Macaca fascicularis: one gene and its partner. The protein of the gene in region 2 interacts with the protein of the main gene of each other region in a biochemical or structural test. Links are inferred from orthologs where the notes say so. Each region holds a gene or a part of one and is shown on either strand. Other genes may lie near its edges.

Region 1 (4,171 bases), on a different chromosome or scaffold from region 2:
AGAAAGTCACTAGATTTCCCATGTTTTCTTAAAATTAAATGTACTAAAAAATCCAAATGTAATAGAAAAATGCAATCACACAGGTGCTTTAAACATATTTCTGAATAACACTGCCTTCTAACTCGTGAGTACAAAGAAATGTGTATGCTATTTATACATTTTCTTAGTGTTCTCTACCTTTGGACTCCAATCATTTTAACCTATCTGTATATTGGAGATTTGATCAGAGTGTATGGCACTTCACAATAACATTCCATGTCCTAATAATCTGAAATGCCTGTATACAATCTGAGTATATTGTTTAGTCAGAAAATATCAAAATTAAGGATATAGGACATGGAATGTCTGTTAAGTGCTGAGTTTTCTGACTACAGTTTAGCCAGTGCTAATGTGGAACCTGTATGCTTTTTTCATGGGCATGTTTGAATTTTTTCTTTCAAAATGTATCTCAACTTTTTGATGTCACACTTTGTTTTCTCCCAAGTCACTCTAAGGGTTCTATCAACATCTTTGTTTGAAAGCAGACCAAAAATGTATTTTTAAAATGAAAAAAAAATTCACAAGAGAATCAAGTTTTGGTTTTAATCTATTATTTACATATTTGTAAACTGCTGTTAAAATGCTATCAAAAATGTTATTTAGGAAGGCACAATTTGGTAGCATCAATTTTTTATTTATAGTTTTTTCTAAACAAGATCCCAAGAAACTTCCACTTTAATTTTTCCCTTGGAGTACTTAAAGTACTTCAAGGTTCAATGTCAAGTGCAGATAAAACCCCGTCATTTTCAAACTTACTAAGAGTTAACAATACATTTGATAGTGAGCAGAATATGAAAGTACAGATATTACCAAAAGAGGAAAATTTTATGATACTGGGTTCAGAGATTAAAGAATTTGAAACAAGGGCTTTCATGACTGGGGAAAATCAAAGCTTTTCTTGAAGGGGTGGTCTTTTAATACTCGAGCTATTAATTAAATGCAGAAATGAGATAACATAGTTATCCTGAACATCAAAAAAGCAACAGCTAATACAGCTAATGCATTATAAATAATGTGTTTGATAATTGGATTAGTAAAGCCTGGTTACCACTCTAGGCTAGACACTAATCAGTATAACCATTTGTAGTTTCTAATTTTAAAAAGTTTGGCTTCATATTTAAATTTCCTTTTACTATATATATATTACATATATACACACTGTTGTCTGTAACTCAAACTATAATGCTTGTCTATAAAAAGAATAGGTTTTTTATTTCAGAGATGCTTAAAAGTCCCACTACTCACCCTTTTTCTTGTTTATAAAAACCAACAATTTTGAAATTACTTCTAGCGTAGAAATGCTCAATGATTCACCCAAAATTTCAAGCCCATATCATTAGGTAGTTTCTCATAAATGAATATATTGTGCTGTATTTTCTAATATCATATGGTCAAATACCCTGTTCATTTATGAATATTTTTCATGGGCAAGAGTAACTAAAGACAATAGGATCAAGTTGGATATGTTGCTACTGACTTTGAATACTAAATTGTGCTTGCATCCTAAAAATTAAAATGAGCTGCAGTAAGAATTAGAATATAAACTGTGTTCATTTGTTCCATACACTAAAAACTAAAATCCTAAAAATAAGAATGAAAATACCTTACTTGTTCATTGAGAAATGAAAGATGAGAAGCAATAACAATTGGTGACGATTTATTTTTATCTTTTGTTAAAGCTCTGAAATTGTAGTAAATCACTAACTAAATTGAGGTAGAGGTAGACCCTAATGTTACTCCTTCCATGTGTCAAGTCTCTCCACCTTAGGTCTCTAAGGTCACCTGTAACTTAAGTCTCTCACCCTTAACTTACATACATTTTCCCTCTTAGTACATAAGCATGATTCATTTTGGAATGTGTTGTCATGAAAGAAAAATTAAGATCATTCAAATGGTACTTTAAAAATTCTGAACTACTAGCTAAAAAAATTCTCTTATAAAAATATACACAAGGGCCAGGCTCGGTGGCTCACGCCTGTAATCCCAACACTTTGGGAGGCCGGGACGGGTGGATCACCTGAGGTCAGGAGTTCGAGACCAGCCTGGCCAACGTGGCGAAACCCCATCTCTACTAAAAATACAAAAATTAGCCAGATGTGTTGGCGCATGCCTGTAATCCCAGCTACTTGGGCGGCTGAGGCAGGAGAATCGCTTGAACCCAGGGGGCGGAGGTTGCAGTGAGCCGAGATCACGCCATTGCACTCCAATCTGGACAACAAGAGCAAAACTCTGTCTCAAAAAAAAAAAACAAAAAACAAAACCAAACAAAAAACCACGATAATTCAATCTTCTTTTTCTGAGAGTCTTAAATTGGAGAAAAATAATATAATTTTCTATCTTGCTAGTAATAAATATATTTGTTTCTCCTCCAAGTGTAGAGGAAAACGAGGAAAGAGAAGCTGTATGATGCAAACATTATCAACAGTTTCATTAATGAAGACATCGGGAACATAACTAGGAGGGTTGAACATTTTACCATTCCTCTTTGAAGGTTACATATAAGCTTTGATTCATATTAAATTTTCTGCTAAAATAACTACTTCCTTTTCAGACTTCAATTCCATTAAACACACATCTATTTCCATTTTAAATCACATACAAGTGCTATGTGATCAGAGGGATGGGAAACACTAGGTAAGGCCTGGTGGGTGGTAACTTCTTCATGACTAGGTAATGGAATCACCTGTTCAACCTCTAAAGCATTTAAGTCAATGAAAATGTAATCTAGACATCCATGAAAGCCACCAACATAATTTGTGTAAGCAGGTTCACCACAAGCACTTTTCAGCTTGAAGAAATGCGTAAGAGACATGTTGCATCTTTCCTCCTCCCCATTGGAAGCCCAGTCTTCATGATCCTCTGGAATGCTGCCATTGATGACAAAATGATACATTCCTGTTGATGGTGTACTATTAAAGTCCCCACAAAATATAACTGGTATGCCAGGATACAGATCACATGAAACATGTCTAATGTGAGCCAAGGCTACTGCCATTTGAATGAGGCGAATATACCCACCTATGAATATAAAAAACATTAATGTAAGTATTTTTTAAAGTTGTCTTTAAGTTAAAACGGAAAAACTACACAAATTACAATTTCTGGGTGACATTCAAGATATATATTTGTGTAAAACAGCTTTAAACAACCTTAAGCGCGTTTAAGTCACTTGTGATACCAAATAAAACCTACCTTTAGGATGCCAGTAAAGATGGGTATTAGCAACACATATCCTTTTAGAAGAGTCCTTTGTAGACTGAAGAACTGAAACCTAAAATAAACGGAAAGTGCCAAGAGTTCAGTTGGCATTTGCAAATCTCCTGAATGTTTTTGTTCGTTTGGTTGGTTTTTTTTTTTTTTTTTTTTGAGATGGAGTCTCACTCTGTCAACCAGGCTGGAGTGCAGTGGTGTGATCTCGGCTCACTGCAACCTTCGCCTTCCGGGTTCAAGCGATTCCCCTGCCTCAGCCTCCCGAGTAGCTGGGACTACAGGCGCCTGCCACCGCGCCTGGCTAATTGTTTTGTATTTTTAGTAGTGACGGGGTTTCACCGTGTTAGCCAGGATGATCTCGATCTCCTGACCTCGTGATCCGCCTGCCTTGGCCTCCCAAAGTGCTGGGATTACAGGCATAAGCCACCACGCCCCACCTGTTTTTATCTAAGACTATATGGCGAACTAACGTTTTCTTCCATCTCCTTCCCGTGATTAACTAGGACTGCAATCATGAAATCCGACTTGTTATTTAAGTTTCAGGATCTACATGACTAGGTTCAGTGTAACATGTTTTAATAATAGTCCAATATAGGCCGGGCGCGGTGGCTCACGCCTGTAATCCCAGCACTTTGGGAGGCTGAGGCGGGCGGATCACGAGGTCAGGAGATCGAGACCATCCTGGCTACCATGGTGAAACCCCAAACCCTGTCTCTATAAAAAAAATTAGCCGGGCGTGGTGGCAGTCCCCTGTAGTCCCAGCTACCCGGGAGGCTGAGGCAGGAGAATCGCTTGAACCCGGGAGGGAGAAGTTGCAGTGAGCCGAGATCGCGCCACCGTACTCCAGCCTAGGTGACAAAAACTCTGTCTCAAAATAGTAATAATAATAATAATAGTCCAATATATAAAGCTAGTAATATAA
Region 2 (4,214 bases):
TCAGTTGCTAGCCTCTTTTTCTCTCTTTTTGAAGCTTTCAAGGGTAGAAATCAAAATAGTCTCCCTACCTCCAATACATTTGTAGAAACAGGGACTATTTCTAGAAGACTCCAGAAGGGACAGTGACTGGGAAATTGAAGGCATGAGGGAGACTTTTCACTGTACACTTTAAAAAGACACATTTAAAAAATCTCACCATGTTCGTATTTGTTAAAACATTTTAAAAATATACTGAAGAAATGACACATAAGGATCACAAAATAGGTTGTGGTAAAAATTTAAAAACCTGGCTGGTGATTCTTTTCTCCCCACTTCTTTTATCAAAATAGAATTGCCCTGTAGAATTACATTTCATATTTGACACCCTACCCTGCCCTGAAATAGGGCTGGGATTCTATTCCTGTCTTTTAAAACCTTCGGTTTAAATGGGTCCGATTATTGAATGGATCCTGATTACAATAATCGTACCCATTGAAACCAGAGAAATTTCTAGGCCTCCCTGTTGAAACCAAGTAGGACCTTTCCATACCCGGCCCTCAGAATGTACACGAAGGTGAAAGAACAGTCTAGAAGGATGTCGTTCCCTCAGCCTTGGGTTCCAGCTAAAAAAAAAAAACTGTGTGGGGTTTCCCCCTCACTTTTCCAAATTTAACCTGGACACCAGCTCCTCTGCAGTGTCTCCCCTCGAAAGTTCTCGAGCGTTCCCCAGCTTTAGGGCCGCGCCCGGCCTGAGATCTGCTGAGTCATTGTCCTTGTCCCGCGGCCCGCAGCGGGGGAGGGGCGCGGCACCGGGGAGCCCCCGCGACCGGGCTGGGAAGCTCAGGAAGACTGAGGGGGGCTGAGCAAAGAAAGCCCCGTCATTATCTCAAATGTGACCCAAAAATAAAGACCCGTCCGTCTCGCGGGGTGGGCCAGGGCGGGTCGCGAGGGAGGGGAGGGAGACCCCGACTCTGCGGGAGGCGCTCCGTCCGCGCCCCACGTCCGCCGAACGCGGGGTTCGCGACCCGAGGGGACCGCGGGGGCTGAGGGGAGGGGCCGCGGCTGAGGAACGCGGGCTGCCCACCCGCTCCTGGCGCCGCAGAGTCCGCACCGGGTTTTGGCGCCTCCCGCGGACGCCCCCTCCTCTCGGCGAGCGCCTCCACGTCATGGCCGCAGGGCGCAGCGAGCGCCCTGATTCTTCCGCTTGGGCGCTCAGGACGGCGGCCCGCTGCCCACCAGACTCAGTCCCAGAACCCCAGTCTCAGCAGGAGGACATTTTGGGACGGGACTTGGGTGACTGTAGGGCACTGGTTTTCTTTCCAGAGACCGGAACGGGCGAGCAAAAGTAGTCCCTTCTCGGCGATTCTGCGGAGGAATTTCCTTGGGGCGGTGAACGCCGATGACTATATAAGGACGCGCCGGGTGTGGCGCAGCTAGTTCCGTCGCAGCCGGGAGTGGGATCGCAGTTCTTGTTTGTGTGTCGGTGTCATCGCCACTTGGTGAGCAGAGGGCTGCTGGGCCGGCCATGGCTTTCGTGGCCGCTGGGCCGCTCGGTGGGATGGAGGGGGGCCGACGCCGCGGGATGAGAGGCCGCCGAGGGCTGTAGTCTGGGTCCGCGAGCAAGGTGCCCCGAGCAGCGGGTGGGAGGGGAGCGCAGCAAAATGGCGGCTGTTCCCGGCTCTTGAATGGAAGACGGTTGTGAGGCGGGCTGTGAGGTTGTTGAAACAAGGTGGGGGGCATGGTTTGCGGCAAGAACCCAAGGCCTTGAGGTTTTCGCTAATGCGGGAACGCTCTTATTCTGGTGAGGTGGGCTGGGGCACCATTTGGGGACCTTGATGTGAAGTCTGTCACTGACCGGAGAACTCGCTTTGTCGTCTGTTGCGGGGGCGGCAGTTAATGGCGGTGCCACTTGGCAGTGCACCCGTAGCTTGAGGAGCGCGCGCCCTCGCAGTGTCGTGACGTCATCCGTTCTGTTGGCTCATAATGTGGGGTGGGGCCACCTGCCGGTAGGTGTGCAGTAGGCTTTTCTTCGTCGCAGGACGCAGGGTTGGGGCCTAGGGTAGGCCCTCCTGAGTCGACAGGGGCCTGACCTCTGGTGAGGGGAGGGATAAGTGAGGCGTCAGTTTCTTTGGTCAGTTCTATGTTCCTATTTTCTTAAGTAGCTGAAGTCTGAGTTTTAAACTATGCGTTCGGGGTTGGCGAGTGTATTTTGTGAAGTTTCTTAGGTATCTTTTAAATTGTAATCATTTGGGTGAATATAACATATAGTTTAAGTATTAGGAAGATTAGTACATTGTCTGCTAAATGCTGGTGGTTTTTGGCTCTTTTGTTAGACAATGCAGATCTTCGTGAAGACCCTGACTGGCAAGACCATCACCCTTGAGGTTGAGCCCAGTGACACCATTGAGAATGTCAAGGCAAAGATCCAAGATAAGGAAGGCATTCCTCCCGACCAGCAGAGGCTGATCTTTGCCGGAAAGCAGCTGGAAGATGGGCGCACCCTGTCTGACTACAACATCCAGAAAGAGTCCACCCTGCACCTCGTGCTCCGCCTCAGAGGTGGGATGCAGATCTTCGTGAAGACCCTGACTGGCAAGACCATCACCCTCGAGGTCGAGCCCAGTGACACCATCGAGAACGTCAAAGCAAAGATCCAAGACAAGGAAGGCATCCCTCCTGACCAGCAGAGGTTGATCTTTGCCGGGAAACAGCTGGAAGATGGACGCACCCTGTCTGACTACAACATCCAGAAAGAGTCTACCCTGCACCTGGTGCTCCGCCTCAGAGGTGGGATGCAGATCTTCGTGAAGACCCTCACTGGCAAGACCATCACCCTCGAGGTGGAGCCCAGTGACACCATCGAGAATGTCAAGGCAAAGATCCAGGACAAGGAAGGCATCCCTCCTGACCAGCAGAGGTTGATCTTTGCTGGGAAACAGCTGGAAGATGGGCGCACCCTGTCTGACTACAACATCCAGAAAGAGTCCACCCTGCACCTGGTGCTCCGTCTCAGAGGTGGGATGCAGATCTTCGTGAAGACCCTGACTGGCAAGACCATCACCCTTGAGGTGGAGCCCAGTGACACTATTGAAAATGTCAAGGCAAAGATCCAGGACAAGGAGGGCATCCCTCCTGACCAGCAGAGGTTGATCTTTGCTGGAAAGCAGCTGGAAGATGGGCGCACCCTGTCTGACTACAACATCCAGAAAGAGTCCACCCTGCACCTCGTGCTCCGTCTCAGAGGTGGGATGCAGATATTCGTGAAGACCCTGACTGGCAAGACCATCACCCTCGAGGTGGAGCCCAGCGACACCATTGAGAATGTCAAGGCAAAGATCCAGGATAAGGAAGGCATCCCTCCTGACCAGCAGAGGTTGATCTTTGCTGGGAAACAGCTGGAAGATGGGCGCACCCTGTCTGACTACAACATCCAGAAAGAGTCCACCCTGCACCTGGTGCTCCGCCTCAGAGGTGGGATGCAGATCTTCGTGAAGACCCTCACTGGCAAGACCATCACCCTTGAGGTGGAGCCCAGCGACACCATTGAGAATGTCAAGGCAAAGATCCAGGACAAGGAAGGCATCCCTCCTGACCAGCAGAGGTTGATCTTTGCTGGGAAACAGCTGGAAGATGGGCGCACCCTGTCTGACTACAACATCCAGAAAGAGTCCACCCTGCACCTGGTGCTCCGCCTCAGAGGTGGGATGCAGATCTTCGTGAAGACCCTCACTGGCAAGACCATCACCCTTGAGGTGGAGCCCAGCGACACCATTGAGAATGTCAAGGCAAAGATCCAGGACAAGGAAGGCATCCCTCCTGACCAGCAGAGGTTGATCTTTGCTGGGAAACAGCTGGAAGATGGACGCACCCTGTCTGACTACAACATCCAGAAAGAGTCCACTCTGCACTTGGTCCTGCGCTTGAGGGGGGGTGTCTAAGTTTCCCCTTTTAAGGTTTCAACAAATTTCATTGCACTTTTCTTTCAATAAAGTTGTTGCATTCCCAACTGGTGTGGTTTTTTAAAAGTTAAGGTTATTTTGCATTAGACTGGGTGAAGGGGATCAAGGTTTTCAGTTTACAAATGTTGCTGTGGTAACAGTGAAATGTCAGTGAAGGGGTTGACCTTAATATAGTACGAACTGTAGAAGGTGGGTGCAAATAAAAGCCGGCTTCAAGACCAGATTGGCCAATGTGGTGAAACCCTATGTCTACTGCAAATACAAAAAGGCAGGTGT

What was found.
Region 1: the proteins of UBC (region 2) and PDE12 form a complex in vitro, tested with the Homo sapiens proteins (4 studies listed by BioGRID). The link is inferred for Macaca fascicularis from reciprocal best matches to the Homo sapiens genes UBC and PDE12.

Annotation. Positions count from the first base shown.
Region 1 is NC_088376.1:120,636,433-120,640,603, reverse strand, and holds the end of PDE12 (2',5'-phosphodiesterase 12), read right to left. Parts: intron 3,311-4,171; coding exon 3,232-3,310; intron 3,058-3,231; coding exon 2,615-3,057; 3' UTR 571-2,614; downstream 1-570. UniProt on the Homo sapiens protein: Enzyme that cleaves 2',5'-phosphodiester bond linking adenosines of the 5'-triphosphorylated oligoadenylates, triphosphorylated oligoadenylates referred as 2-5A modulates the 2-5A system. Degrades triphosphorylated 2-5A to produce AMP and ATP.
Region 2 is NC_088385.1:132,077,541-132,081,754, reverse strand, and holds UBC (polyubiquitin-C), read left to right. Parts: upstream 1-1,414; 5' UTR 1,415-1,478; intron 1,479-2,312; 5' UTR 2,313-2,315; coding exon 2,316-3,917; 3' UTR 3,918-3,985; downstream 3,986-4,214.